Linked DNA regions of Alligator mississippiensis. The protein of the gene in region 1 purifies or fractionates together with the protein of each later gene. This does not show direct contact. Links are inferred from orthologs where the notes say so. Each region holds a gene or a part of one and is shown on either strand. Other genes may lie near its edges. The genes, in order: CUL4A, TRPC4AP, RBBP4 and FBXW5.

Region 1 (6,900 bases):
AAAGTCTGCTCCAAGGCACGCATGCACCCACTGGTACGGAGCTAATGCCAGAGCCCGGAGCAGATGTTTGCAGGCTCCCGGCTGCAGCCAGCCCAGGCTCTGGGTAGCTGCTGCCAACCACGGCAGGGCTTGCAGCCGCCCAGCTGCCTGCTGGGAGCAGCCCAGGCTTCGTGGCTAGCAGCAGCTGCCTAGAGCCCAGGCCGGTGGTGGCGTCCCCGAGCAAAATGGCCTCACATGCCGTACTCAGCACACGTGCCGAGGGTTGCTGACCCGATGTAGTTAGTTGAGCCAATAAAAGATACTGCCCACATAAACACTTTCCTCTCACATATTTCCTGGGCCATCACAGCACCTCAACGCAACTTGGACTTTTTAACACACTGTCCATGTTTGTGAGAGAATATCTCCATTTGGTTAAGCATCTCAATTTGGGCAGACCCTCCACCTTCTTCAACAGGACTCCATCCATCTGAAAGGGATGGTATGTGTGAAGTAGCTTGTGGAGTGAGAGCCTATGTCAACTTCCCGAGGGAAAAGAAGCCATCGCACTGGAGTGTTGTTTTAGCTGTGCCAGTTTGGGAAATATGCAAGAAGCGAGGGTTGTTTTTTTGTGGTATCTTTTACTGGACCAACAGTACAGCTGGGACAGATGTTACACAAGCTTCTGTGCACAAAGTGCTGTACTGCAAGACACGTGGTTTGCCTTGAAAGCAAAATTTAACACTACATCACTATTAGAATCTCCCTACCTAACCTAACAGCATCTTCCCCAAACTAAGCCATGAATATGCTCTTAACCAAAGCACCTTTTTAAGCAAGGACTGATGAAGAAGGACATGTGGGTGAACCCTCCACCTCCTTCCACAGGACTCCATCCAGTGGAAGGGGAGGGTCTGCCCAAAGTCGCTGGCAGAGTGAGAGCCTCCTCCATCCTTTGAAGTCCAGGGTGTAGGGCCAGGACACACACACAGGGCCCCATCTGCTGCCACTTTCTTTGAATGCAGCTCCACTGAGAAATACTCTGAACATAATGAGTTAGAGCAGCGCCCAACCAATGCTGCCTGCATTAGCAGCGAGCTTTGAGTTTACACCTTTCTGTAGAGCCTTGAAACAAGGGACCCCCCCAAAGCTCCACACACACACACACCACTTCTGCTGCAGAACAAGCTGCAGTGTTGTCAGGTGTACAATAATTATCATATTTGTGCTATAATTTCAATGCTTGTACAATGTACAGTCAACAATGGTAAGAGTGTTCAAAATGTATAATTTTTTGAGGCAGCTAATTGATGCAGAATATGCAAAACCCAAGTCTCTCAGGGAGTCTTAACTGGCTTTTTTTTTTAATTCTGGAAAATTTTTCATATTTCAGGACAAATCAGCCAAGTCAGTTCTGAATCCTCTCCATTGAGAGAAACTCAACTGTTCAAACACCATCTGTGGGGCTACAACGGGCTTCAGATACTCCCAAATCCACTGGCAGGCATCCTAGATGCAGGTCCAAACCCAGAGGGCTTGGAGTTCAGATGCCCCCAAGTCTCACCTGCCTTTAGCCAACAGCCACAGGAGCAAGGTAGGGAGGAATCCCCCATTTCCATAAAGTCAGCATGTAGGCAAGATCCTCCCACTGGAAGCTGGGCCCTGGGAAGCTAATTAAAACTTGTAGGACATTCTGCCTGCAGTGCATTGGACAGGGGTGCATCCTCCACTACACAATGCCATTTAAATCCATCTTGGTCTGGGTAACAGACCAGTGCAGTGACTACGCTTGATCTTAGCCCACAAAACGCAGCGTCTTAACTGACTTTTGGGTTGGTTGTCAGCACCTTCTTATGACCGGGGATCCTGGTTTTCTTGGATAAAATCCCTAATTTTCAGTTTAATAAAAGGAACCCCAAATACACACTTTTCCATGATTAAAATGAACCACTACTAATATATATATATACAACATCAATAACATATCTATCTATCTATAAATATATATTTATTAGTGGTGGTTCATTTTAATCATGGAAAAATGTGAAATCATTTATCTATCTATATCTATAGATATATCTCTATCTATCTCCGTAGATGGATAGAGATATGTCTACAGATAGAGATATATCTATAGATCAGGGGTGGGCCAAATGCGGCCTCCGGGCCAAATGCGACCCTCCAGGTCATTTTATTTAGCCCGTGGGGCCCCTAAACATTTAGAAAACCAATAGTTATCTGCCCCTGGCTGCCTGCCATGCAGCCCTCGATGGCTTGCCAGAACTCAGTAAGCGGCCCTCTGTCCGATATAATTGCCCACCCCTGCTATAGATAGATAGAGAGAGAGACAGATGGATAGATATAGTGGTGTTTCATTTGAATCATAGAAAATGTGGATTCTGGGTTCCTTTTCTTAAACCTAAATTGGGGATATATATTTTTTTCAATCAGAGAAAACCAGGATCCCTGCTTATGTCCACTTGCCTTGAAATACAGAAATGCTTCAGCTTGGATGCCCTGCCTCGCTCCCCCACAAGAGAGCTACAGCCCGCACTATAAAGTCTGGAAAAAAATAACTTATTTGCACGCTGATTTTTCCAGCAAGCACCACAGTGTTTTGCTCCCGATGCGATGGTCGCACACTGAAGCTTGGCAGCGCGCTGACAAACAGTGCAGAGGGCAGGGGCCTCCTCGGCGGGGCCCCGGGAAGGCGGCAGCCCCGAGGCGCGGGGGGAAGGGGAGAGGGGGGGAGACCCCTATCAGAGGGGAGACCCCGGCCGGGGCTGGGCTCACGGCTCCCCGGGGTCCCCGCGGGGGCGAGGGCAGGGGGCCGCCCCGCACCCACCTCGGAAGTTCTTGATCACCAGCTTCTTGGAGGCGGCGGCGGCGACAGCGCCCCCCCCCGGGCCGACGCGACCCCCTGCCAGCGCCACAGCCTTAGTGAGGCCATTGGTGTGGCCCACCAGCGCCGTCAAGTGCGGCTTCTTGCGCGGCTCGTCGGCCATCTCCGCCGGCCCCGGCCCGCCCCCCGCTACCGCCCCGCCCGCAAGATGGCGGCCGAGCCCTGCCTCCCACAACGGCTAGCTCGCGCTGGGGGGCAACGGACGTGTCCCCAGATGTGGTGCAGATGTTTGTGAGCGTTGTACTTCTACGGGCGGGGGGCTGGGCTCGGGGACCTGTAGCACAGCTGGAGACCCCCGTGTTCCCGGGCCCCGCCCCCATGGCCCTAAGGAAGCCCCGCCCCCGGCCCCAGCGCGTGGAGCAACAAGCCCCGCCTCCCGCGGATGTAAAGGAAGGGGGGGGGCGGGGAGCCAGCGCTGCCCTTTCAACGAAAGAGAAGCAGGGGCGGGGGGCGGAGCTAACTCCTGTAGCCAGGTGGGCCTGGCGTAGATCACGTGGCTCCCGCGACTGGCCTGTCAGCGCGGGGAGGTGGGCCGCTCGGCTGGAGTAAGCGCCAGCATTGTTTGGCCCCGCCCCCTCCTTGCCCCACCCACACGTGACGGAGTACGGGGCGCACCAGGGGAAGGAAGAGGGATGAGGGTGGAAGTCACGTGAAGGGGGTGGGCTTTCGTTGTGTCCTGGGAGCTGGGGGTGCGCGGCGGAGCTGGGAGGAGCCGGCGTCTCACGGGGCGGCCTCTCCAGCCCGGCGCATGGCGCACATCACCATCAACCAGTACCTGCAGCAGGTAGGTGGGCGGCCGGCGGGCATTCGTCCTCCCTGTCCCGCATGTCTGCTCGGGCACCCCGTATACACCCACCCAACACACACGTATGCACATACCCAGTGTACACGCATGTGCACATGCATACACCCACTACACACACATCTGCACACCCAATACATACATGCACACACGCATCCCCAGTATGCACATGCATATACCCACTACACACACACATACATGCACACCATACCCAGTATATATGCACGCATATGCCCACTACATTCCTTAGAGTCTTAGACCAGCAGAGGCTCCCTATGTCCGACTAAGACTGACTGTGCCTGAAAGCTTGCAAAGAACTTTTTTCCAGCTACTCAGTTGGTCTAATAAAAGATATCACATCTACTCGAAGAACCTTGCTCGTCTATGTCCTTAGATCAACGTGGCTACAACCAGCAACTCAGATACCCACTATACACGCATGCATGCGCACATACACATGCAGTATACACACCTGCACATACATGCACCCACACACACCCAATATGTGCACACGTGCATGCAAACACATGCACATGCATACACCCAGTACACACATGTACATATGGAGCCCCTTTGAAGTCTTCCTGAGGGGTGGTGGATGTATTAATGCAGGGGTGTCAAATTTGCCTGGTCTCATGGGCCACAGATGTACACAGGAGTAGTCCGTGGGCCACATGAACAGCACAGGGCTGGATCAGACCCCCCCCCCCCAACATGCTTTTGTATTCTGAAGCTTCTATATTTAATTTGTATTGTTAAACATTAATAACATTCAGATACATTTAAGAGACATGATTCCCTGCACTTAAAATATCCTCCATTTCAGGAAAATAAATAATATAATGAAAATTAATAGTGTATCTTTATTCTTGGAAGTGTAAGTGAAATTGTTAAAGACATTTTAGAAACTTTGTACACCTATCATCCAAAGACAATGATGATATAACATTGTTTTGTAAGATCTCTGGTTTACTTTGATCTTTGTAAGCAAGGAGAAAAAAGGTGGTGACAGTGTTGGTCATCCACATCATTCACAGAATTTCAATATGTATTTTCTGGACTTAAGTTATTTGGAAGTAATGCATGAAAAACTAATTTTTGAAAAGTCATTGACAAGAATGTATATGCATCTGCAGGAAAGTGGCTTTATTTGATATGTGGGAAAAGGTGGCTAAGTCTAGAACTTATTCATAGTTGTTAGGGTTAGTAGGGACTTCAATAGATCATAGAGTCCGACCCCCTGCCCTGGGCAGGAAAGAGTGCTGGGGTCATATGACTCTAGCCAGGTGCTTGTCCAGTCTCCTCTTAAAGACCCTCAAGGTAGAGGAGAGCACCACCTCCCTTGGAAGCCCATTCCAGATTCTGGCAACACTTACTGTGAAGAAATTCTTCCTAATGTCCAACCTAATTCTGCTTTCTGTCAGTTTGTGGCCGTTGTTCCGAGTTATTCCAGGGGGTGGGTGCCCTGGTAAACAGAGCATCTCCTGTTTCTTGCTGCCCCCCGCCCAGCTGGTGAATTTGTAAACGGCCACATGATCACCTCTCAGCCTTCTCTTGCAGCGGCTGAAGAGATTCAGGTCCCTCAGTCTCCTCATCGGGCCTTACCTACAGGCCCCTAACCATAAGAGTGGCCCTCCTCTGGACCCTCTCAGGGTTATCCACATCCCTCTTGAAGTGCGGTGCCCAAAACTGGACACAGTACTCCAGCTGTGGTCTGACCAGTGTCGTGTAGAGGGGAAATATCACCTCCCTGGACATGTTCATGATGCACCTGCTAATGCATGATAAGAGCGTGGTTAGCTTTACTGTTTACTTCGTCACACCGAAGGCTCATGTTCATCTTGGAGTCAACAATGACTCCGAGATCCCTTTCTGCTGCTGTGCTGCTGCGAATGTCCTCCCCTACCCTATAGGTGTGTTGATGATTCCTTCTCCCTAGATGCAGCACTTTGCACTTGTCTTTGTTGAACTGCATCCTATTCTTTTCTGCCCAATTTTCCAACCTGTTCAGGTCCGTCTGGATTTGATCCCTTCCCACCAGTGTGTTTACCGTAGCCCATAATTTTGTGTCATTCCTTGCAGTTGTTTTCTTTTTTTTCTATTTTTTTTACTTTTACCTGTCTTATTTAGGTACAAGAGGCCATTGATACCAGAGATGGACTTTTTTGTGCAGAACTAGTATCATTTAAGCATCCTCATGTTGCAAACCCTAGACTTCAGGTAAGGAAATTCGTTACCTTGCCAAATCGCAGTCCCAAATCCTGCAATATTCTTTGTGTGGGGGAGTACATTTTCATCGACTTTGGAGAGGCTCTTAATGGATATGAGATTTTTCTCATTTGGATATGATTTCTTGATGCAAATAGGAAATCCATGTTAGATGAAGTAATGTCCACAGAGAGGAACGGCAAGGATAATAAATAAGCACAAAAAATTAAAAAGGCACAAACCTACAAAAAAAACCTCTCATACCTGAGAAAGGAGAATGTAGCTAGGATGTAATCTGGGGGGAAAAAGTTGTCTACTGTTATGTAAAGCCCTACAGAATTTAAAAGTGAGAAACCAAGACTGTTCAGAAGAAAAGTACAACAATTTCATTTATAAAACATTTAACTATCAGATAGACTTCATTTGTGTGAGCTCCTCACTACAGTTCCTTAGGAATATTTAAAGTATCTTTATTAATAGTCTGTAAAACCTTTCCTTTTGTGGGTCACTGTGTAAATTTTAAAACTGCAGTTAGCCAGATATGTGGCCAGAAGAACATTGCCCTGTATCCCATTAGCAATAAGATGCATTCATCATTCTTTTCCTCGCTACATAATAACCTAAAAAATATACAATGGTTTCTAGAAGAATACAGTGAAATGTAGATTGTAAGATACATGTCCCCAGCCTATGTTTTTCTCTCTTCCTTTTTTTCCCACCTGCCTTGTCTCATTTTACCTTGCCTTCTTCCCTGAAAAATATCTTTTTAATGATCCAAAGCAGTGGCTCTTTCTGGTTTTGTGTTTTTCTGTCCCTTCTCACATTTTCAACTCTTCAGCTTTCTCCGTGACATGCTTCTTCCCCTTCTTCCCCAATACTTTACCATAGGGGTGGGTAGTTATTTGGGCCAGAGCCACTGAGAGAGTATTGGTGATCTGTTGAGGACTGGTTTAACGTCCCCTCATACCCCAGCTCACCAGAACTCCCTCAGTGGCTCTGCCCTGGAGCT
Region 2 (7,615 bases), on another chromosome or scaffold:
GCTTGCTGGGTGGAGTCCCACCTGTTCTTCTGTGGCTCCGCCCTTCTTTTTCAGGTCCTCCGGGCAGCTCATATTTTTCTTGGTGCCATTTTTTGGTGGCAACGGAGGGTTTTGGCACGCTGCCATCTCCGCAGTAGCTTTGCTGACTGTAGCTAACTGGTTTTTTAAGTTTGCATTTTCACGCAGTAGGAGTGACACTACGTTAATCATCTTTCCTTTGTCCCACTCGGAGCTTGTCCACTCCCTTCCAACTCCCTCCTCTCCTTTCAGCGAGAAGTAGCCGCTGACGCACCCTGTCTCCACTCTGCTTGCTTGGTGATAAGCGATGTGGGCCCATAATTCATTCGCGTTATCTACACGGTGCCCCCCACTACACCAGGGGCAGTTCTTAATTATGTGCGTGCCGGGTCTGACCCGGGTCGCTTTCGTCGCTCTGCACACGGGCTGTGGCCAGCAGCCCGGGCAGGCCGGATCGGAGAGGGCGGGCGCCGAGCTAGAATTAGGCACAGACACGTAACGGTTGATTTTAAGATTATTTTACTTACACCGAGATGGTCGTGGTGTAGGCTGAGAACTTGCTTGAGTTGCGGTTACAACAAAAAACACGAACACACGTGGAGCTTGCTAGGCTCCACGCAGACAAACTCCGGATGTCCAGGACAAGCGCGCATTAAACTCGTCGTTACGTCTTATAGTAGGCTCCATTCGAAGACGGGAAGAGGTGGGCGATGGATCAGGCCGCCAAACTCCTCCGAGCGACACACAGGGTTTCTATTACCCTGCCACGCACACCCAGAGTCCCCACGAGATGGATGCGGAGTCCTCTTCGGCTTGGGTGGAAACTGCTCAAGCCTCTTATACGGCTAGCAGGCCAATCGCTAGCCGTCACGTGTGAATAATTTAGAACTAGCCAATTGCGGGGCACGAATTTGCATATGACGAGCGGGAAACCTTTGCACCGTGCATTTCTGTGCTGCAAAGGAAATGCACCCTGCAAAGATCGCTGCAAAGTGGCGGGAACACTCCCCTGCACGCGGGTTCTCTGCGCAACAGAACTCCTCCGTGCAGCGAAGTTGCAAACCCACGGGGATAATTCTTAGTGCCGAAGCGCACACACAAAAAAAATCAGACCTTTAGGTCATGACAAATTAATTCCCACTCCATCACATTTCCCCTTGATCCTGTTCGTGACGCCATGTCGGGACCCAGGGCAGCCGGCCAGCAGCTCTCCCTGACTCCCACCCGGGCAGATAAGGGTCCGGGGCCTTAGAAGGCCATCAGGCGGGTACTTGTGACGCTTGGAGTGGAATTAATTAGGCGGACGCTTATTGGTTGCAAAGCAAGATTATTTACTCACGCCGTCAAGGTGGTGAAAGACGGAGGTCAGATATACTTCGTTAGTTATAGCTTAAGGGTCGTAGGTCGGTCTGCATAAGAGTTTGGTAGTCGCGCAGAGAAATGGTCGGGCCGGCAGGTCGTCGATTAACGTCTGAGAATTGGGTTGAGACGGGGGAAACTGACAAGTGATCAATTTGTCAGTTACTCTCACGCATACGTTCAGAGGTATTTTAGGTGTGTGTGCGGAGGTCTCCCGTTCTTCACGGAAGTGCAGACGGGTTTTATTTGTGTAATAGCCAATTGTTTTTCGCCACATCATAAATTTAATTAGAATCGCCAATTATCTAGCAGTCTTCGCTAGGGTTCTATCTCGCAGGGTTACTCCCTGTTTTCTTTGACCAATTATAATGATTTATGTACAGCACAAAAGGCTAAGTTCTATTTCATGTTAGTGTCGCAGTTATAAATTTCTTTTTGACATGCGCAGAAAAAAAAAAGCGGTTACTATCATTATTGTTAACCCTTAGTTAACCTAGTGCAGAAAAAAACTGTTTTGAATGGTTTTACTTGTTTGTGACATGGGCACTACTTAATTTGGTTGTGACAATAGCCATTGTTGTATTTGTGTGTTTTAGTTGTTGGATTTTATAGTATCTCAAAACAAAGTTAACCACGCTTTCTGCTTTTGTATACACCCGCTTGCCAAACACTAACAAAGATGATGACGTAATGGTCTGTACATAAACATGATGTGACTTGCTGTGCCATGGGCAAGGGGGCATGTCACAACCCAATTATAATAGTGCCCATGTCACAAGAAAGTGAAACTATTTAAAGCAGTTTTATTTTCACTAAGTTAACTAAGGGTTAACAAAAGTTTTTGCCAGTAACCGCCTTTTTGCTGCGCATGTCAAAAAGAAATTTATTGCTGCGCCACTAACAGAGATAAAACTTTTGCCTTCTTTGCTTTACATAAATCATTGTAATTGATCGGAGTGACAGGGGAGTATTCCCTGCTACAAACACCCTAGTGAAGACCGCTAGATAATTGGCGATTCTAATTAAATCTATGACGTGGCGAAAAGCAATTGGCTATTACACAAATAAAACCCGTTTTAACTTCCGTGAAGTCGGAGAGCGACTCCGTATACACCTGGAGACCTCTGACATACGTGTCAGAGTAAACTGGCAATTTGATCGCTTGCCAGTTCGCCCCCATCTCGACCCAATCTCAGACGTAATCGATGACTGCCGGCCCGACCTTCTGCCCGACCACTTTTGCGAACTGACCTACTTTGCAGACCGACCTCATAAACTCTAAGCTGTAACTAACCAAGTATCTCTGACCTCCGTCTTTCACCACCTTGACGGCATGAGTAAATAATCTTGCTTTGCAACCAATAAGCGTCCGCCTAATTAATTCCACTCCAAGCGTCACAAGCACCCGCCTGACGGCTTCTAAGGTCCCGACCCCCCCGCTGCAGTGCACGGCAGCGACAGAGGGAAGGGCCATGGGGGGGCAGATCAAGGCCCCTGCAGTGAGGGAGGGTGTGGGGTTGGGGCAGGGGCTGCCCAGGTGGGGCCTGGACGGGTGCAGGACAGAGGTGCGGCTCGTTGGTGGGGGTGCAGCTCCCGCCGCTCCACACAGCTCATCCGGTGCTCATCTGGCGGCTCCCGCTGCTGCTCCCACCTCTCATCAGGTAAGGCATGTGGAGGGGCTTATATGTCCCCTGGATCTGCACAAGGCAGGGTGGGCTAGGGCTGGGCTCTTCCCAACCGGGCAAATCTGGGGACACACGCCTTCCCCCCATATCCTCCTGGACCAACAGCAGAAGCAGCAGCAGAAGCTGCCAGACAACACCGGATGAGCTGGGCGCAGTGGCGGGAGCTTGTCAGCTCCCTGACAAGCGGCGCCTCCCCTCTGTCCTGTGCCCACTGCGGCCCTGGCCCCAGCCAACAGCTGCAACCAACCCCACGTAGATCCAGGGGGCACATGCCACCCCCACCCCCTGCAAGATCTGCTTGCTGCTCTGTCCCACACCCCTCCCCGCCCTGGCTGGTCAATGCCTGCCCTGGCCCCAGCCCCTGCCCCATTCCCTCCCTTCACTGCAGGGGCCTTGATTTGCCCACCTCACATCCCTTCCCTTCCCTCCCCTCCCCTCCCACCAAACCAGACTTACCAGCCTTATCAGAAATTGGATCGGTATCAGCGCATATGCCTCCTTAAAATTCGGCTGTCTGTACCGGCATCAAATATCTCTATCAGCGCACCCTCCGCCTTTGTTTAGGAGGGCAGCATATTTATCTGATAAATAAATACATGCATGTAGAATAGACCTGGGGCCCTGAGAGCGGAATTGGGTGTGCATGCCGGATTGCAGCATTGTAATGATTGCCTAGCTCTGTTGTAGCGTGTTAGACCCCATCTACACATCGGCTGCTTGCAGACATTAAAAAAGAAAAAAATGGCACCTTAAAGTCAGTGTGATCCCACCCTGAGCCCAGCACATGCCCAGAAGAGGCACTTGGACTTGCCTCCCCCAACATCCTTAAGATTGGGTGTTTTAGTAGGTCTTTTGGGGCACTTTTATTAATAGCTGATTGAATTAGCTATTAGATAAAAGCACCAAAAAGCCCCATTGAAGTACCCAATCTATATAGATGCTGGGGAGCTGGATTGAAGTAAGTGCTGCTGCTTCCAGTAAAGCTTTTGTTTTTTGGGGGGGCGGGGGAGGGGTAGTGTCGGCAAGCAGCATTATGCTTAATACAATATTAACTTGTACTCGGGTCTTGGCTTGTGACTCAACTACATGTACAATTTATTCGTGGCTTGAGAAAACAAAGAATGAGCCACAAAGTTATTCCAAAACAAATGTGTAATAGCTGTGCTTCCTTATTACGCCATTATCTGAACGCGTGGCCATGGGCCGAAGGGCTCCCGGCTGCGGGCTCTGCCAGCCTTCTCTGCGGGGGCTCCAACCGGGCGTGCAGGGCAGCGGGTAGCCCCCGGGTGCTGCCGTGCAGTAAAGCGCGGGCGCTGTGCTCCAGTACTGTGACGCGGGGGTGCGTGGGAGGCTGCTGGACCGGTGACTGTGGCAGTGGCGCCTCCCCGCGCTCACTTCCCTAAGGCTGCAGCCAGCACAGGCGACCGGCGACGCTCTCCTAGGCTGGGCGGGCACTACATTTCCCAGGGGCCCCCGAGCGGCCTGCTCTCAGGTCGACACTGCGGCGCAGCCGGCGGGGGTGCTGTGGGACGGCCCTTGCGCCGATTCGTACCGAGCGGCCGGGCCAGGAGGGGTGTTTCCTGTTTGTCTCCGAGCAGCAGGAGCGGCCATGGCGGCGGCCCCGAGGCTTGGCGGAGGCGGCCGGCGGGTGGCCACCAACATCCTGGCTCAGCTTCGGCATGGGCAACTTAGCGGCAACGGCCTGACTCGGGGGGCGCAGGTACGGCGGGCCTGGCGGGGGCGGCGCTGTGGAGGCTGCGGGCCCCCGCAGGCGGTGTGATGGTGGCGGGGGTTGGGGCCTGCATGATTTGGGCCCCGGAGCAGGGGGCGCTCTCGCGAGCAGAGCTGCAAGCGCTGAGCGAGGCCGTGCGCGGCCGCTTTGGCCTTCCTCGGGTGTAGGGGGAGGGGAGCGCCGCTAGCTGGAGACGTGTCATGCCAGGGGGGGGCGTCTGGAAGCCGCGAAGGGCGACGGCCAGTGCTGCTGAAGCTTGTGAGCTTCTTCGTCCTGCAGCTGGTCAAGGGCTGGTCCCGGAGCCGAGGTTCAGAGCAGCCCGGCTCTTTTGCCTGCTTCTTCCCCACGCCAGTGTCTCGCTCTTCTGGCCCCGTTCCGCTGCTGCCTCCGGTTTACAGCCCTCCCGCCTCGGGGGGCGTGCCAGGCCGGAACCTCTGGCCCAAGCGGGGAAGATTTTCTGCTATGCCCCCAGCTCTGTGCAGAAGGTTGCATGTTTCCCCTTGGCTGAGGCGTGAACTTGCCAGGATGGCAGGATGTTGTGTTTTAAATTTCCTTGTGACTTTACATGCAAGCCACGGAAAGTGCTGAGCAGCAGTCCAGGGCTTGTGTCCTGTGTGGGTGCAGAAAACAGCCTCCAAATCTCCCAAACTGCCAGTTCTATTAGTGACCTCTTGAGCTTTCTGGTGCATAAATCCACCCCTCCCACTCAGACCTGGGTGTGTGGGGTTGTTTTCTGTTTGCTTGCTCTCACATGTGTGGTGCAGGAGCATCCACTGGATGATTAGATACAGTCAAGGGGCAATGGGAACTAGATTTGACATTCTCTGCTTGCTGTCCTCTTATCACCCTACTTGTTAACCTTTGGCCCCCATTCCTGTTCAGTTTCTCATGACTTGTCCTATGATATCTGTTTTATACCACAAGTATTGGCCTTACCTGGATCCCAGGCCACAGCTGGACCACAGGGCTCCTTGCAGGCTGGATCCAGCCCCATGCTCTGAGGGCTGCCACAGTAGCTACCATGGTAGTGACCACACAGGGTCCAGTGGAGGTGAAACAAGCTTGCCACCAATGACCATGTACCATGGGGCCAAAGGACCCTGGATTATGTAGGTCACTCCACCCCCCTCAACTCCTGGTGCTTGCTGGCAGCCCAGTAGGTCAGATAGAGAGGCTTCATGGACTGAGTCCAGCTCATGGACCATGGACCATATAACTCATGTTATATGTTTAGTAGTGGCCTCCATCCAGCCATTGAGGGGGACTTGTAGCTTCCTGGTGTGTCCAGACCTACTGTGCTTGCATACAAATCATCTTTTCCCAGCCTAGTTTGTACTGCAAGACAGCAGAACAGTATTAGGAGCTGAGAACTGTCCTCAGAATCCCCCATTAGCAAGAGAATGAATTTATACCATACTACTTTGTTCTCTCTCTTTCCTTGAAATTCAGGATGTAAGGAGACTGGTGGAGAAGGGCCAATATAGAAACCACAGAAATACTGCCCTGTGGTGGTGTTTTGCTTGGAGGCGAGGATAGAGGTGCTTCCTTTTCTGAATAGAAAAGAAGCCCTGATTGGCATTTCAAATTAACCCAAAATGTCAAGATTTAAGTGCATGTGTTGATTTATTCAGGCATGTAACCTGGTGGACTTAGTGGTGAGTAGTAGCATAATTCTGAAATGAAAGAGAAAGGCTAACTGCATTTTTCATTTAAGTAACACTGATCAGAACTTTTCTGAAATTTATATTTTCCACTGTTGATGATCCCATGAAACATTGAGAATGAAATCAATTTCTTGACTTGGATTTTGTTTACTCTGTGTGTGTTGGCTTTCTGTGAAGCTTTTTATTAGTGCTGGGCTTCTGGCTGATTTTAATGCAAAGAAAGTAGCATTAAGCTGGAGGAAAAAGCACAAAAAATTATACATAGGAACCTACTGAAATTGTGATTTCACAATCTTCATGGAAACTGCAATTTTAGGCAGGCTCCCAAAGAGGTGCAGACTCCCTGGGGAAAAAAAAAAAAAAACTTGCCAAAAATAAAATGCTGGCTCCCCTTGGAGAGCCAGCAGTCCTTGTGGCCACTGTGGCTCAACTACATAGCCTGATGGGGGAGGGGAAGGGGGAGCTGCTGGCATGGCAAGATGGCTGCTGCTCCCACCCATTATATAGACTTTATAAGCTGTGTTTAGAAGAAAGGGCATGTTCTTTGGATCTGCCGTCCTGATGCGACTTCACTGAGTAAAACTATTAATCTTAAAAGAATCAAGTTAGACTAACGAACTGAAGCTATCTCCTTGGTATACCACTTTTCCTGTTAGTTAAGGACTTGAAGCATTTTGATCATTGAATAGTGTTTATGAGCAGTGATGGATACAAGATTTGTTTGCATAACTTTAGGCCTCAATACCTATTTTATAATATAGATGTTGGGTTGGATACAGCCTAGTGATAATATTCCTTGTGGCCTACCTGCAGTACTGTCCATTCTAAGGAAAATAACAAATCACTAGTGAAAGGTTGTTGGTCTTGTGCGTGTGTTTTCCTTGAGGTTTTTTGATAATTTAACCTTGATATTGTCCCTTTTAAAGTGAACAAGTTCCACAAGATTGTTTTTTAACTGTAATACATTATGGTCATGATTCATGTCCTGTGCATTATCCGCCATAACTCGCATCTCATTTTATATTGATTTAAGTAAAATTATCAAATACTTGTGTGACAAGAGAGACTACAACAGGATGTTCTAACATACTAGATGCCTGCTTACCTTCTTCTGTGGTCTTAGCTTTATATGTACCTGAGAAGCCCAAGAGGCAGTA
Region 3 (7,198 bases), on another chromosome or scaffold:
AAAAAGATAAAAACTATTAGTTTTAAACACGAGAAAACTGAGGTAGAAAGACAGCATTGCTCAAGGCCACAGCACTATCCCTCATTGTCAAGAGCACCTGGCTTCCAATCTGCTATTCAATTCAAAAGAGCAAACTGCCTTGTACGGAAAAATAAAGTAGCCGTAAAGCCGTTATAAAAAAAGAAAAAATCAGATAAGTGACTGAAATTCCTCAACAGATTTGCCGAAGCTATATTTAACATTTGTATTGTGAATTGGAGAGCAAGTATTTGTCAGCACCTGCACCGAGAGAGACCCCAACTTACACACTTTGTACAGGAATCTCTCTCTCTATCACACACACACACTTTTAATCATATACAACCAAGTCAAAACTAAACCTATTTTCAGGATCACAAGCAGATTTCAGGAAATAAACAGAATAAAAGGAAAAGATATCTACAGCCTTATGATCGCAAGTAATATTGCAAAACTTTTTAATATACTATACTTTAATACTCACTCTGAAAAAACAAAAAGGAATTGAAGACAACAACAAAAGAAAAGAAGTAGTGGTACTAAAATTTGATATTTCTGGGAAACAGAAATCCTGAAATGAAGTATTTTAGACAGAATCTTGTTTACAAGCAGTACTAGCAAGTCCAACAATCAAGGTATCAATTGCACAACCTTGGCTCCTGGCAAACAAGGAAATGAGACAACTGAACTGGAAAAGTTGTATAACGTGGAAGAAATCATTAACCCAACTAGAATAAGATATGGCTAATAGGTAGGAATGCTGGCTGCCTAGGAAGGTTACTGATATATTTGGTTTGGATCCCATGGTATTATGGCATTTAACTGAGCAAAATACAATCATCCTTTTATTCTGGAGGGGCTGGCACGTCTACCAGTCAGCAGAATTCAAGCTAAAAAGAACACTTGAAATTGTACACCCTCTAAGGAATGGCAGAAAGCCTCTTTTATCAAATTATGAAAGCTACCATCATAAAGAATACTTTATGCAGTCACAATGAGAAATAATTAAAATAATTTCTATTGCACAATCTTCCAATAAGTTCTACCCCTCTCCTCTTCAAAATGTTATAAAAGCAAAAAGTAAGTTTAATTCAGCATGGCATATGGAAGATTAGAGTACAGTGCACAGATCCAAGAAGAAAGGAGGAAAAGTTGTAACCTCTCCTGATCACTTCATAGGATAAAAGTTCCATATTACTTAATGATCTATTAACTCCAAATGAAAAAAGCCATTATGTCCAGTGGGAAAAAAAAGTTTGGAACTCCACTTGCTGATCATCCGAGACTCTTACCTCCTTTCTCGCTATCATAATGTGAAGCATCAAACTGTGCATCGTCATTGGGCAGCTGCACGCTGGCTATCACAAGATGATTTTGCTCGTCTGAAGTATGTGTCCCCAGGACTAGCCGGTGAATACTGAAATCTTTGCCTTCGGGTCTACAACAAAATAGGATTACAGGAGGGGAAATGAAAGGGAGTTAATTAGATATAGTTGGCTCACAGGAACAAACCTGGACCTGGAAATTAAACCTCCAAAAATAAATAAATAAAATAAAAATTATAATATATCTTTTAGCGCTGACCATGCCCTCTTACTCCAATATCAAATCTTCCAAACAAAATCACCGCAGTCCAACCCTAGACGGACAGCAGATACCTATTTCCTTGCTGCTATCCCAAACAAAATCACCGCAGTCCAACCCTAGACGGATAGCAGATACCTATTTCCTTGCTGCTATCCCAAACAAAATCACCCCTGTCCAACCTTAGACAGATAGCAGCAAGGAAATCTGTATCTGACATCCCCACAATACAAGCTCTCTTCTCCCCGCAGGACTCTCCCACTAGTACTCCCGTGAGTAACGCCTTGAGGCATATTAGCATTTTCTGCAAGTGACAGGTGGAAAAATACATTGTGTCAGGGACCCGGGGAAAGAACAGTTGTGCTGCACAGCAGAAGGGTTTTGAACAATACCTAAATGCTGCGTACGTTCATTTTGCAACTTCATCAATGGAGGGTAAAGAAGAAAACATCACTTAGTTACAGGTTGAACACAGCCTGAAACATTTGCTGCCAGTCAGCAGCTATTTCTGAATCAAAGAGGCACCAGGCAGCAGGCAGCAGAGGTGCTGCCTGGTGCCAGCACAACAGTCCTCAACCTACTGTGGCCAAAGAGCTGATCACAGCCGGCAGCAACCCACTCCCTCCCATACGTGACAGCGAAAGCGTCCTTCAGTCCCATTTACACCAACAACCAGGAGGCTCGACTCACCTGGTTACATCAGGAAGCCACTGGGCAGTCAAGCTGGGCCACTCGAGCGCGTGGGTCATCACCAGGTCGTAGAGGAAGGGCGTGTTCTTCTTCCAGATCTTGTACTCCTCGTTGATCACCCGCTCCTCCACCGCATCGTCGAAGGCTGCTGCACGTCGCCAAGGGGAGGAAAAAAGAACGTGTTCATTTCAACGGCGGGTCCGGCTAGCACCCTACCCGTGCGGCCCCGTCGCTTTGCCGTAGCTGCCAAACAAACCCACCCACTGCCAGGGTGCACCTTCCCACCCGCCCGCCCGCCCTCCGTGGCCCTCACGGGCCCATTACCAAGGGCCCCCCCCACCGCGCACAGACCTGGGGAAGCATTTCAGTCCCCCCCAAGAACCAGAATTGGGGGCTTTGCTGTGCAGATGAAGGGCCAATGATATCAAATATGCAAATTAAAGGAAAATTATGCAACACATGCTAATTAAAGGGGGGGGGAAATGCCTCTTTGAAGGCTCCCACGGAGGAGCCGGACAGGAAGAGAAGGGAGGCCCAAGGGCTGCTTGCTCCGGCAGGGCTGGGGAGGTCCCACTCCCGGCCGCGGCGCCAGGCCCTGCTCCCGGCCGCACGTACCTTCCTTGTCCGCCATGTTGGGGTGCGGGGCGCGGGCTGCCGGCTCGGTGCAGCCGCCGCTCTATTGTTTCCGACCCCCTCTGCGTGCCACTCCGGCGCCGCGCGCCCTTCGCGCCAACGCCCGCCAATCACCGCCCGCGGCCGGGCGCCCGCCGCCAATAGGAGCCCGGCGGGCGCTTGACAGGGCGGGCCTAAGGAGGCGGCGGGCTTGCTGTACGGTCACGTGGGAGGGGCCGGCGCTGGTGAAGCTCCCATGGGAGCCGCCATTTTCTGACGGAGGGGCAGCATGGCGGGCCGCCTTAAAGGGCCAGCGGCCCCTCATGCCCTTGCTGGGGCTCAAGCCTCATTGACCCTGTTTCTCAAGGCTGCTGCGGGAGGGGCAGAAAAGCAAGCAGCCTAGGGCTTGCCTGCCAGTCGCTGCAACCTGTGATCAGACAGGATTGAGGATCTTGAATAAAGCAATATTTATTAGCCTATATAGCAATATTGATCTCGAATAAAGCAATATTTATTTGCCCCCCTTTTTGTTTCGTTCTAGGTTTGAAGGACAAAATTCAGTTTTTGCCTGAATCTGCTTCCTACGTGGGGGTTTGTTTCTTTTTTCCCCTCTGATTTTCCCCCAAAGAGTCCGATCAGCGCTGGAGATCGTAAGAGTTTTGTACAAGAGCGTCCTGTGTAGGAGACATTATGGTCGGCCTTTGCTGACTATTAGGGATCCTGGTTTTCTCTGGATATCCCCAATTTTCAGTTAAAGTAATCCCAGATCCATGTTTTTCCATGATTAAGATTAAACATCACTAGTATTTACCTATATATTAATGAGGTTTCATTTAAAAAATCCACATTTTTTTGTGATTTAACTGAAAAATGGGGATTTAAAAAAAAAATTTTTTTTAATCGGAGAAAACCGGGATCGCTGCTGATTAGCCTCTGGCCTCGCTCTTCACTGCAGCAGGAAAGACGCTGATTATTTCCAACTGGAGTCAGTATTTTGCAGCGGTGTGAGAATAAAGCAGACCACGCAGGGGCTCCGAAGGAGGACGCTGGAGAACACCTACCCGATATCATCACCGTATCACAGAACATGAGAGCTGGAGGGACCTCGGGAGGTCACATCTAGTCCAACCCCTGCTCCGAGCAGGACCAGCCCCAACTACATCATCCCAGTGAAGGCTTTGCCAAGCTGGGTTTTGAAAACCTCCAAGGATGGAGACTGCACCATCTGTCTAGGTGACCCGCTCCAGTGCTTCATCACCATCACCCTCCCAGTGAGAGAGTATTTCCTAATATCCAACCTAAACCACCCTTGCTGCAACGTCAGACCGCTGCTCCTTGGCCACCACTGAGAACAGGACTACACTTTTCTTACAAATTGTATTCTTTACTCCCATCTTTAAAAAAACAGAGTAACTGATGGTATTTATTTAGTCTTAGATTTAAAAAATAAATAAATACCAGCTTTTCCTTCTACTGGAATTAACTCTAGAAACCATCTCATCGTTTCCCCCCTTTCGCTTTCATTCATAGCGCTCGGCCCCTGGTGGAAGCCTCAAACAGTCTAAATCGCCAGTGTTTTCCTTTTCTTTTGCTATTTTCCTTCTTCTTGAGCAGCAGCAGCATGCTTGAGGCTGCGCAAAATTAATCAAGTTAAACCAAAGGACAGCCTGGCACTAGCTCAAGGTGTAAGCTATTTGTGGTGCGGATCCTGAAAATGAAGCTTAACTTTAGGCACATTGAGAACTTCTTTCAGCTTCATTGACTCACTGCCTAGTACGTTTTTGCAGGCTAAAAAATACCCTTGCAAAGGATTTTGTGGCTGGAGAATTCAGGGGTGCACATTTCAAACCTCACTTATTTTCAGTGCCACTTGGTGTCCTCATTGCTCTCCAGTCGAGCAGGGAGCTCTGCCTTTAAAGGGTAGGATCACATGGTGAGTCTGGGCTGGATCAGGCGAAGAGGGGCTGTCTGAATAAAGCAGGAAGCAGGTGCTGCAAGGCTGACAGTGATGGCTGATAATTTCCGGGATTACAACCTGAACCAGGAGCAGAAGGCTATCAAAGCCAAGTACCCTCCACTCAATAAGAAGTATGAGTGTGAGTATCCCCATGGCATGTCTGTGGCTGGGAGGGGAGGTATAGACCTAAGCACGTGTAAAACTTGTGCTTCACACTGTGCCCTGGGATCTTGTCTCTAAGTGGGTAGGGGAGGCTTATTGATGCGTCTTGATATGTTATCTTAACGGAGATCATTTAGCTTTGTGCGATGGGTCCTAAAGAAGTCCCTGTGTGTTCAGCACCTCCAGGCAGGTTGCCATAACTAGTTAGTGACTCCTGACTTTGCAACTGGAAGTTTATTTTGAAAGCCTGAAAAGAGAAGGAAGCAAATCTTGCTGGGTGAAATGAAAAGTGGTATTATCACTCAAAACTGACTTGCAGTAGGGGGTAATGATGATACCATACTAAGAAAATATAATATTCATTGGAGAAACTATAATCCAAGAGCTGGTTAATTATGCAAATCACATCTGCCACCACTGATTTATTAGCCAGTCAGCTCAGAACAAAGTACCAATGCTTATTTTGTTTTAAAACTTAAGTATAATGCCTTAGTGTGGAGCTGTTATAAGGAGGGAGGTATGGTAGGGTCTGATCCTGTGCGTTACTGAGTCCCCTCAACTCCTGCTGGTTGAAGGGCAGACAACAAGTGCTCAGCACTGCAGCTCCCGGTATTATGCATCTTAGTGGCACAACTGTATCTGGCAGTAATTCTGCAGAATACTGGTTTCCACTGACACTGCACAGCTTGTTCCCATAAGCATGCAACTCATTTTGAATTAATGCCTGGTTTTCATATCCAGTTTAACCCCAGTAACACAAGTTGGATGGGTTTTAGGGTATTCTACCAATATTAGGGATACAGTGTAAAGCCAGGCCTATTACACCATCTGTTCTTTTATCCCCACAAGGGAAGTCAGATCAAAAGTTCCTTGAGAAACAAAATTTCTGTGAGCTGCTCCATAAAACAGATTATCTAAAATGCTTTTCTGGCATTTTAAGTGAACATTGATGTGAGACTGATTACAATATGGGGGGCAGGGGGAAGGTTACCAACTTCAAGGAGAAGAAAATTGAAACAAGAGTTTTGGGTTCAAATTCTGTCTTTAAGTTTCTTCCATGTGGCCTGTATAGTTTGGGAAAGCTCTATAACATTTTCATCTATTGAAGGATGGTATGAAATGCATATATATTGGGGGTACTTTTTGTGGAAACAAGGTGATGGGTTTATTATGGAGGGGTTGTTTTTCTTGGTGGCTTTCTTTTAAAACCTATTATGGTACCTACTATGTGCTGCTATCATATTGATCCTTTTATAGCATATTTAGCTAAAGGTCAGATTAACATTATTAATATGAGGTCAGATGTGTCAAAACATGCACAAAATATTCTCATGATAAAAACAGGACCTGAATTTTCTTGCAAGTAGTCATGCGTTGTTTTTCTAAACAACTTTGACAATTCCATAACTCTTTCTTTTTTTCTCCTAATCCTTCAGATCTGGATCACACGGCTGATGTTCAGTGAGTATTTACAGCTGGAATTTGAGTAGAATTTCTCTATAAGCCTGATTCTCTTCAATACTTGTCAATCAGGAGTAACTGACAAAATCTAATGTGACAAGAGAATAGGGTGCAAATATATCCCTTTTGGGCCTGTGGATGCCACATTTAAAGATGCTGTATTTGTTTCATAATTCTGCTGCCTCTTATTTCCAAATGTTCCATGTACATATGTTCCAACAGTACCTGTTTAGATATCCATGGTTTTTAGTAAAATACTCAATATTTTTCCATGTTGTTCCTCCAAAAGAAACTCCATTGTCTTTCAGTGTTTCAGCACTTACCATAGACAAGTCTCCCTGCTTAAAGGCACTGTGTTTGCTGCTTTTCCTACTCGTATTTCTATGGTACTCCAATTCCTTACTTGTATTTTCTCGTCTTTCTTTGTCGCTGCTGTATGATGGTGTAACTCTTACGTCTCTGTAGGTTACATGCCTGGGGAGATACTTTGGAAGAAGCTTTTGAGCAGTGTGCTATGGCCATGTTTGGCTACATAACAGATACAGAGACTGTGGAGCCCTTGGATACTGTAGAAGTGCAGACAGAAGGTAAGAAGGCACTGTGCAAACTTTGAAAGAGAATACTGTTGAAATTAACTTTGCCTTTCAGTCAGAAATAGCTGGCTTATTGCATGTAGTATTGGCACAGGTTTATTAAACTAACTTATTCTTTCCA
Region 4 (7,942 bases), on another chromosome or scaffold:
ACATCGGTGCTTCAGGCAGAACCTGGGAAGAGCTGGCTTGGGCCACAAAAATCAGATCAGATATTGTACTGCAAAGCCATGTCCCCAGCCCTTATGCAATCCTTCCCACAGGTCACAGCTCATCCACACCCGCTCCAGAATATGCATCGTCTTCCCCCCCACCCCCCCCAGTCCAGTCACATGCAAGTTATACTCCTCCACATTACAGACATTAAAATCAGGAGTGGGCAAAATGTGGCCCATGGGCCAGATGTGGCCCACCAGGCCATTCTTTCCGGCCCAAAGGGACAAAAAAAAATAAATAAATTAGAAAATTAAAATTTATTTGCCCCTGGCTGCCTGTCATGTGGCCCTCAATGGCTTGCCAAAACTCAGCAAGCGGCCCTCTGTCTGAAATAATTACCCGACCCTGAAATGCTTCAAACCCCCAAAGGGAAAGGGGCTTCTTGAATGAGCTCAGAGTCTATTATAAAGACCAGCTGCTCAGAGAGGCCAAACCGGTTAGCTCACAGCCCCATATATTCAGAGCCCTGTGACTTCTATACCTCTCCTGTGTTTTATGGAGGCTAAGACGTCTCAGCTGCAGCATCTCCTCCACAGTGCCTGATCCAAAGGCCTCACTATACTAACCAATCAGATCAGCTCCCAGCAAAGGAAAGGGAGGAGGAGGAAGAAGAGGAAGATCAGGGTACAACAGCTTGACAGAAGTTTATACAGCTGGAGTCAAAGCTTGAGCCTACCTCACTTGGTACAAGTGAACAAACAAATCAGCCAGTACAAGAGCCGGCTACTTCTTTACCTTAACAGTGCAGTCCTTGGAGCAGGATGCAAACAGGTAGCCAGAATGGGAGAAGCTGAGGTGCAAGACCTGGTCACTGTGCTCCCTGAGGGTCTGTACTTCAACGCACGGGATGGTGTCATAGAGTCTCTGGAACTCATCGTACCAGGAAACAGCGACTGCAACACACAAGCCGAGACATTTGGGAATCGGAAGGCAGCAAGGAGGGGATGGGGGTTAGCCACAAGCAGAGGCCACGGAGTTGGGTGGCTTTGCCTGTAGCAGTTACAGCGCACAATTAAAGATACCTGACCTGGGTGCCGCGGCACTTCCCGAGAAATCCGGTAGTATCGATAAAATAGTTCCTTCCACAAGAACTCATCCCGGGCCACTGCGTGCCACTGCCGACACACCAGTGTTGCTGAGAGCACGTCTACGTGGTCCAGGTAGAGGAAGATCTCATAGAGGACGCTGTCAGGGAGAAGGGGATTACCCCCAACATCCATAGTGTCATTCTGTCACCAAAGGACTCTGGAGAGACACAGGAATGCAGTTAGTTTCCACCAACCTGCCTAGCATATCATTAGGGAGACACTTGCCCAGAACAGGGAGGCTGCCATGCCTGAGCAAGCACGCTCACAGGCAAAGCAAGCAATCGCGGCTTCTCACAGGCAGAGGCAAATGTACCCACTTTAAACAGTCATGTTTCCAATTGCAAACACTTGTCAGGAAAACAGCATTGGTGGGCTGGGGAGGGCAGTTTTAAACTAAACCTGAGACCAGTTTTCTCTTCACTTGCCCTCATGCAGATGAAGCTTTTTTGAAATAAAGAAAAAAGTTCACACATGTGGCAGCCCCCATGGTCCTATGTCTGGAGGCACATGAACACGAAGCATCGGGCACGTGCCTGACTTCAGTCCTGTGCACAGTGACCCCCAGTGCGGTCCACCAGCAGGACTTGAAAGCGAGACCTTCAGCATGAAAGCAGTGAGCTGAACCACGTGAAGCACGGAGCTGAACAAAGGGTGCAAACGGAGGCAGCGTTGATGCCTATAGGAAGCTGCCTAGTGGAGCGGTTCGGCGGGTCTGCTCCTACAGCCACGTCCTCGTAACTCTAACGCCATCTTGATCACAGTTAACATTAGTGACGCTGACCACTTGCAGCTCCTGTAGTGACAGAGCATAGCAGCTCACACGCACCCCCCAAAACAGCTCCTCCTTCCCTTTTAAATCAGTGGACAGCTAATAGGCTTTGGCTGTGGACCGCTTCAACACCAGCCAGTCGCGCAGCGCGCAGACCAGGCACAGGGGAGCACGTACAGACCGAGCTTGCTACGCTGCCACTTTCCCTGGCGAGCGCGAGAGGTCTGCGGCCTGACACTGAGCAGCGCGTCCTGCTGTCAGCCCGCAGCAGCGCTGCCTACGGACCTGGCACCCAGACTCCAGCACAGCTCAGACGTTTGGGATGCGTTTGCTCTGCCAGGAGGCGAGGAGCACACACTGTGTTTACGAAATGCGCTACGCGTCTCGAGCCCCACGGAGAAAGCGCCAGCAGCAACTGCTGCTGCTCGACGCGCCGATCCTTTTGCTCCAACACTAAGAGGTGAATCTCGGTGCAAGGCTGACGGCCGGTGGGGGCCGAGAGCAGCCGGGACCCCAGCGAGGCCGGTCGTGTCGCCGAGTCCTGGGGAAGCAGCAGCAAGCTCTGGCCCTGCCGCCGGGGGCACTGGAGGGCAACCGGCCGCACCCGCAGCCTCCCCGAGTGCCACCGCGACCCCTGCCCCTGCCCTGGCCTGCTGCTCTGCTTTCTGCCCCTGCCCCGCCCCAGTCCGGCCTGCCGCTCCTGTCCCACCCGCCGCTCTGCTTTCCGCTCCCCTCCCCGGCCTGCCCCGCGCCCAGCGAGCGGCCGCCGCGGGCAGGCACCTGCAGGAAACCGGGCTCCGGGCGGCCGCGCCCCCGGGGGCCGGAGCCGGCGCGAGGAGCAGGGAAGCGCGGGGGTGCTCGGACCCGGCGCCGCGTCTACACTAGGGTCCCGGCTGGCCCCGCCCTCACGCGGCCCGGACCATCTCAACCGGGGGTGGGGGGGCAGCCTCGTGCACCGCCCTCGCCCCGATGGTACCGCCCGCCCCACCCCCGCGAGACCTTCTCCTCTCCTGCTTCTGCGCTCTGCCGCACGCCGCTTCCGGCCCCTCCCGCCTCACTTCCGCTCCGGCCTGTGCTGGCCGCTCTAGCCCCTCTCTGTGCTCCGCAGCCACGCCCCATCCCCTAGGCCTAACGGCTTCATCCCAGAGCGCCGCCCGGCCAGGCCTGGCGAGTAGAGCTCGGCATCATCCGTTTCTCCAGTCACCTCCACGTGTTCCTGCCCCTCTGCGGGAGGTGTCGCGTCAGGCGGGCGCCCGGCGCCCAGCACCCTCTACCCCGCGTCCAGCACCCAACACCTAGTGTCCAGCACCCTCTACCCCGCGTCCAGCACCCAACACCTAGTGTCCAGCACCCAGTACCCACTACCCAACATCCAGCACCCAGCCAGCCCTGGCGCTGCTGTGTTGGGCTTGCCCCATAGGTGATGCTTTATGCAAATGAGACCTCGGTATGCAAAATACTTTGCATTGATTAACCGGGAGCTAATAAGAGCCAGCACATGATCCTTCCCGGAGCTGCACCCCGTGGCAGGGAGAACCAGGCTGGCGCCCAGCGGCGAAATGAGGGCCCTGCTCATTGCCACTGCACCAGCGCTAGGAGCCTGGGAGCTGTCAGGAGCTGGCCAGGCTCATGGAGTCGCAGCAGGGGGTTTGGGCGCATTTAGCCCCGCCCTGCCCAGAGTACAGGGCTGCACCTGGATCCGTGGCAGCCCTTCCTCTTGCTGGGGTTAATAGCAGTTGTGCATCTGCCTGCGATGCCTGCTACATGTTACATCTGTGACACAATGGACAGGTGAATCGTGTCATAGGTTTAGACCAGCCACACATGTAAAGTGATCCTCACACCATCAAAATGACTCCAGATCCAACCACCTAAGAGTCAGTGGTTGAAATTGTAGTCCGCAGGTTTGTCATTACCCTAAAATAGAATAGTTTTCTGAAAGCATACTGTTAGGTTTACAATAATTTGGATTTTTAAGAAGTATTAGCTTTACAGCTGAATACAAGGCATGACCTGTGGCCTAGTAATGCAGCTGACCACAAGGCAGAATGATAGCTAGGCCTTTGCTTGTGTCAAGTAATCATTTTAACTGCAACAAGCATTTTCTGAGTTAAAAAGTGAATCTGTGTCTGTGCGCTAAAAAAAATCAGCTACAGCAAGAAGTAAGATAAGACAGAGAAACCATTGTTTTGAGCTTACTGGTTGTGTCCTTGAGAAGTATCTTCTACTGTGTAAGGTTTTGCTAACATAATGTTACTGTTACTTAACTTTTAGCTTTTCAAAAGTGCTAGTTCAGCTTAATAGAAATATGCTGTTACAAAGATTTGTAGAGCACCGCCCCAAGTATTGCTTTTTGTTAACCATATAGTCTTGCTTTGTTGTAAGAAGTATAAAAGATCGCCTCACCCTTGAGGGGGGGCCATTTTGCCTTTTGCTGGCTTTATGGTCTTTGCTCGAGCAAATAAACAGCTGTCTTTCTTTACCCGCGTTGTCTGTCAATCAAATTACAGCTAGACAACGGACCTTAGGGAGGTTTCTCCCACCACAAAATGCTAACAGCTCCATGGCTGGTCTCTATCCAGCTTTCATTTGAACCTGTGTCAGGGCCCCAGCAATCAGCAGGGCAGGATGAGCTGGGTCATAGGAGACAGGGAGTTGAATCACTTCCCCACTGGGTGCTTGTTTCCCCTACCATCCTTTGTGGGGTGGCCTATAAGCTCTTTGGCATGGAGACTGTCTCTATCAGTGTGCAGTGCCCTGCGCTGTGGGGCATCTCAAGTGGGAGCCTCTCCAAGCTTATGCAATGACAGAAAATGGTGAGCTCTTCTCTAGCCTTCAACCGTTGCATCCCCCAGCCTGGAAAGATGTGCCACAGTAATTGCTGCACCTGGCTCACCCGGTGAGAAAAGTTTTGCTCCTAAGCCCAGACTGGAATCTCTTCTTCCTGGCTCAGGATTCTGAAGAACCCCTCCCCCCCGCCTCCTGGTTATCAGCGTGGCCCAGGATTGATCCTCCCACTCATGCTCCATTAGGGCATAGACATTTCGTAGTTTCATAGTTGGTAGGGTCGGAAGGGACCGAAGCATCAAGTCCAACCCCCTGCCATGGCAGGAAAGAGTGCTGGGGTCAAACGACCCCAGCTAGGTGATTGTCTAGCCTCCTTTTGAAGACCCACAGGGTAGGAGCGAGCACCACTTCCCTTGGAAGTTGGTTCCAGCTCCTAGCTTCCCTGACTGTGAAGTAGCGCCTCCTAATATCTAGCCTGAACCTACTCTCCATCAACTTATGGCCGTTGTTCCTTGTAACTCCCGGTAGTGCTCGGGGGAACAGGGACTCTTCCATTGCCTGCTGGTCCCGCTTGGCAAGTTTGTAGGCGGCCACCATATCCCCTCTCAGCCTTCTTTTGTGGAGGCTGAACAGGTTCAGGTCCTGTAGTCTCTCCTCACAGGGCCTACCCTGTTGCCCCCTGATCATGTGGGTGGCCCTCCTCTGGACCATCTTGATGCTGTCCACATCCCTCCTGAAGTGCAGTGCCCAGAACTGGATGCAGTACTCCAACTGTGGCCTGACCAATGTTGCATAGATGGGGAGGATCACCTCCTTGGACCTGTTTGAGATGCATCTATGGATGCATGGCAAGGTGTGGTTAGCCTTTCTGACCGCGTCCCCACACTGTCAGCCCATGTTCATCTTGGAATCACTAGTGACTCCAAGATCCCTTTCTGCCTCTGCACTGACAAGAAGGGAGTTCCCCAGCCTGTAGGTATGCTGCTGGTTTTTCCTCCCCAGGTGCAATAGCTTGCACTTGTCCGTATTGAAACCCATCCTATTCTCATCTGCCTACCCCTGTAACCAGTTCAGATCTAGTTGTAGCCTGTCCCTCTCTTCTAGCATGCTCACTTCTCCCCACATCTTAGTGTCATCTGCGAGCTTGAACAAGGTGCTTTTCACCCCCTTGTCCAAGTCACTGAGGAAGATATTGAACAGTGCGGGCCTGAGGACCGAGCCCTGGGGGACCCCACTGCCCACATCCCTCCAGGTCGAAAAACACCCGTCTACCACCACTCTCTGGGTGAGGCCCTCCAGCCAGTTTGTGACCCATCTGACTGTGTAGGCATCAACTCCACAGTTGCCTAATTTTTTAATGAGGATGGGGTGAGAGACAGTGTTGAAGGCCTTCCTAAAGTCCAGAAAGACTACGTCCACTGTGACACCTGTGTCCAAGGCTTTTGTGACCTAGTCATAGAAGGCCACCAGGTTGGTCTGACAGGACCTGCCCCTAATGAACCCATGTTGGTTGCCCCTGAGCATAATCTCCCCTGCTGGTCCCTCACAGATAATTTTCTCAAAGAGCTTCCCCAGGACCAAGGTAAGACTAATGGGCCTATAGTTTCCTGGGTCCTCCTTCCTCCCTTTTTTGAAAATGGGGACCACTTTGGCCCTTTTCCAGTCCTCCGGCACCTGGACAGAGCACCATGAGTGCTTGTAAAGCTGTGCCAGGGGTCCCACAATGACCCCTGCCAATTCCCTCAGCACTCTGGGGTGGAGATCATCAGGACCTGCTGATCTGAACATGTCTAGTCCCTCCAGAAGTTCCCTGCACTTCCCCTAGGTTGGTCCAGATTCCCAGTGCGAGGGATGTCCCTGTCCCTTCTCAGAAACATGGAAGAAAAGACTCTGTTAAAGAGATTAGCTTTGTCACCTGGTGCTACCACCAGAATACCAAGCATGTTCTGCAGAGGCCCCGCCTTACTTGGTACCTTCCTTTTACCCCCTATGTATTTAAAAAAGGACTTCTTGTTATCCTTGATCCAGGTCGCTAGTCCCAGTTCTATCTCTGCCTTAGCCTTCCTAACAGCCCCCATACAATCTCAATCAATGGAGGTATAATCCTCCTTGGTGATGGCCCGTCTCTTCCATTGCGTGTATGCCTCCTTTTTGGCTTTGAGACGTTCCTGGATGCTTTTGGTGAGCCATGGGGGCTTTTGAGTGCTCTTGCCCCCTTTGATCCATGTAGGGATTGTCACCCTTTGGGCTTGGAGGATCATCTCCTTAAGGAACGACCACTTGTCTTGGACTCTCAACTCCCCTGCCCTCCGGGACCTCAGTGCCTCCCTGTTTCATTTAATGGATCTTTTTAAAATCAGTTCTTCTTGTGCCTCTGCTACCTGTCCAGTCTAACAGCTCATGAGAGGAGTCTAGTAATGGATGGCTACTGCCAGGAGAGGGCAGCATCCTGCTTTTGCTGAGAATAGTGTAGTTTGGTAGCTTTGCTGCTCCAGGGACTATGTTAAGAAGTAGGTTTTGCTTGGTAGTATCTTTTAGTGGATCTGCGGGATAGTTGAGAGACATGTCAGGCGAACTTGCAGGCACAAAATGTCCTAACTCACCAGTGGAAGAACAGTGTTCAAAGAACAACTACTCCAGCTCTGACCACACAGTCCTTGTCATTAAGGGAAACCCACACAATCCCTTCAGAACATGGGCCTGGCAATGAGATCTGTAACTTTACCAGACAGTGAAAGCCATGGGTTCAACACAGAAAATGACTCATTTTGACTTACTTTCTCCCTCTTTACTTCTGTGCTCTCTGAAGGCAGTGACGGCTCTCGTCGCTTTTAAACTGCTTCTTTTTCCTACTTGGGTTGATCTCTTTCAGTTGTTTTTTCTTTGTCTGTAGCGATGACCCCTTTGTTCCACAGGTTTATTGCCTCCTTCCTTTTTAAAAGGGCCATTTTCATTTTTATAATGGGATTAAACAAAAATAATTGCTCTACCTGGTCTTTAGCTTCACCAACACCTGGGCTTGCAAGCGGGAGAAGTATGCCCCACTGGCTGACATCCTGAGGGGCCGTGGTTATGACGTGAGAGTCAACGCACCCTTCATGGGAACGCTCGGAGCCTGGGACCCCAACAATGAGAGCGTCCTGCGTGCCTGCCATGTCTCCTGCTGCTACGTCAAGCTGACGCGCTGCCTTATGGTGTCTGACACGATCCACTGGTCCCATGACATCCATGTGG

What was found.
Region 2: the proteins of CUL4A (region 1) and TRPC4AP purify together in Homo sapiens (affinity purification with mass spectrometry; 7 studies listed by BioGRID and IntAct, counting the BioPlex papers as one, with this or other methods). This does not show direct contact. The link is inferred for Alligator mississippiensis from reciprocal best matches to the Homo sapiens genes CUL4A and TRPC4AP.
Region 3: the proteins of CUL4A (region 1) and RBBP4 purify together in Homo sapiens (affinity purification with western blotting; 3 studies listed by BioGRID, with this or other methods). This does not show direct contact. The link is inferred for Alligator mississippiensis from reciprocal best matches to the Homo sapiens genes CUL4A and RBBP4.
Region 4: the proteins of CUL4A (region 1) and FBXW5 purify together in Homo sapiens (affinity purification with western blotting; 5 studies listed by BioGRID, with this or other methods). This does not show direct contact. The link is inferred for Alligator mississippiensis from reciprocal best matches to the Homo sapiens genes CUL4A and FBXW5.

What each region holds. Positions count from the first base shown.
Region 1 is NC_081824.1:351,845,688-351,852,587, forward strand, and holds the start of CUL4A (cullin-4A), read right to left. Parts: upstream 3,013-6,900; 5' UTR 2,985-3,012; coding exon 2,825-2,984; intron 1-2,824. Other genes in the region: PCID2 (PCI domain-containing protein 2), read left to right, coding at 3,630-3,665, 5,814-5,903. UniProt on the Homo sapiens protein: Core component of multiple cullin-RING-based E3 ubiquitin-protein ligase complexes which mediate the ubiquitination of target proteins. As a scaffold protein may contribute to catalysis through positioning of the substrate and the ubiquitin-conjugating enzyme.
Region 2 is NC_081832.1:29,697,631-29,705,245, forward strand, and holds the start of TRPC4AP (short transient receptor potential channel 4-associated protein), read left to right. Parts: upstream 1-4,605; 5' UTR 4,606-4,671; coding exon 4,672-4,782; intron 4,783-7,615. UniProt on the Homo sapiens protein: Substrate-recognition component of a DCX (DDB1-CUL4-X-box) E3 ubiquitin-protein ligase complex required for cell cycle control.
Region 3 is NC_081829.1:5,390,328-5,397,525, forward strand, and holds the start of RBBP4 (histone-binding protein RBBP4), read right to left. Parts: upstream 3,018-7,198; 5' UTR 2,924-3,017; coding exon 2,908-2,923; intron 2,441-2,907; coding exon 2,293-2,440; intron 1,457-2,292; coding exon 1,311-1,456; intron 1-1,310. Other genes in the region: ZBTB8OS (protein archease), read left to right, coding at 4,913-5,000, 6,460-6,484, 6,950-7,071. UniProt on the Homo sapiens protein: Core histone-binding subunit that may target chromatin assembly factors, chromatin remodeling factors and histone deacetylases to their histone substrates in a manner that is regulated by nucleosomal DNA.
Region 4 is NC_081835.1:50,640,801-50,648,742, forward strand, and holds the start of FBXW5 (F-box/WD repeat-containing protein 5), read right to left. Parts: upstream 3,009-7,942; 5' UTR 2,921-3,008; intron 2,915-2,920; exon of another isoform or gene 2,702-2,914; intron 1,310-2,701; 5' UTR 1,285-1,309; coding exon 1,092-1,284; intron 958-1,091; coding exon 800-957; intron 1-799. UniProt on the Homo sapiens protein: Substrate recognition component of both SCF (SKP1-CUL1-F-box protein) and DCX (DDB1-CUL4-X-box) E3 ubiquitin-protein ligase complexes.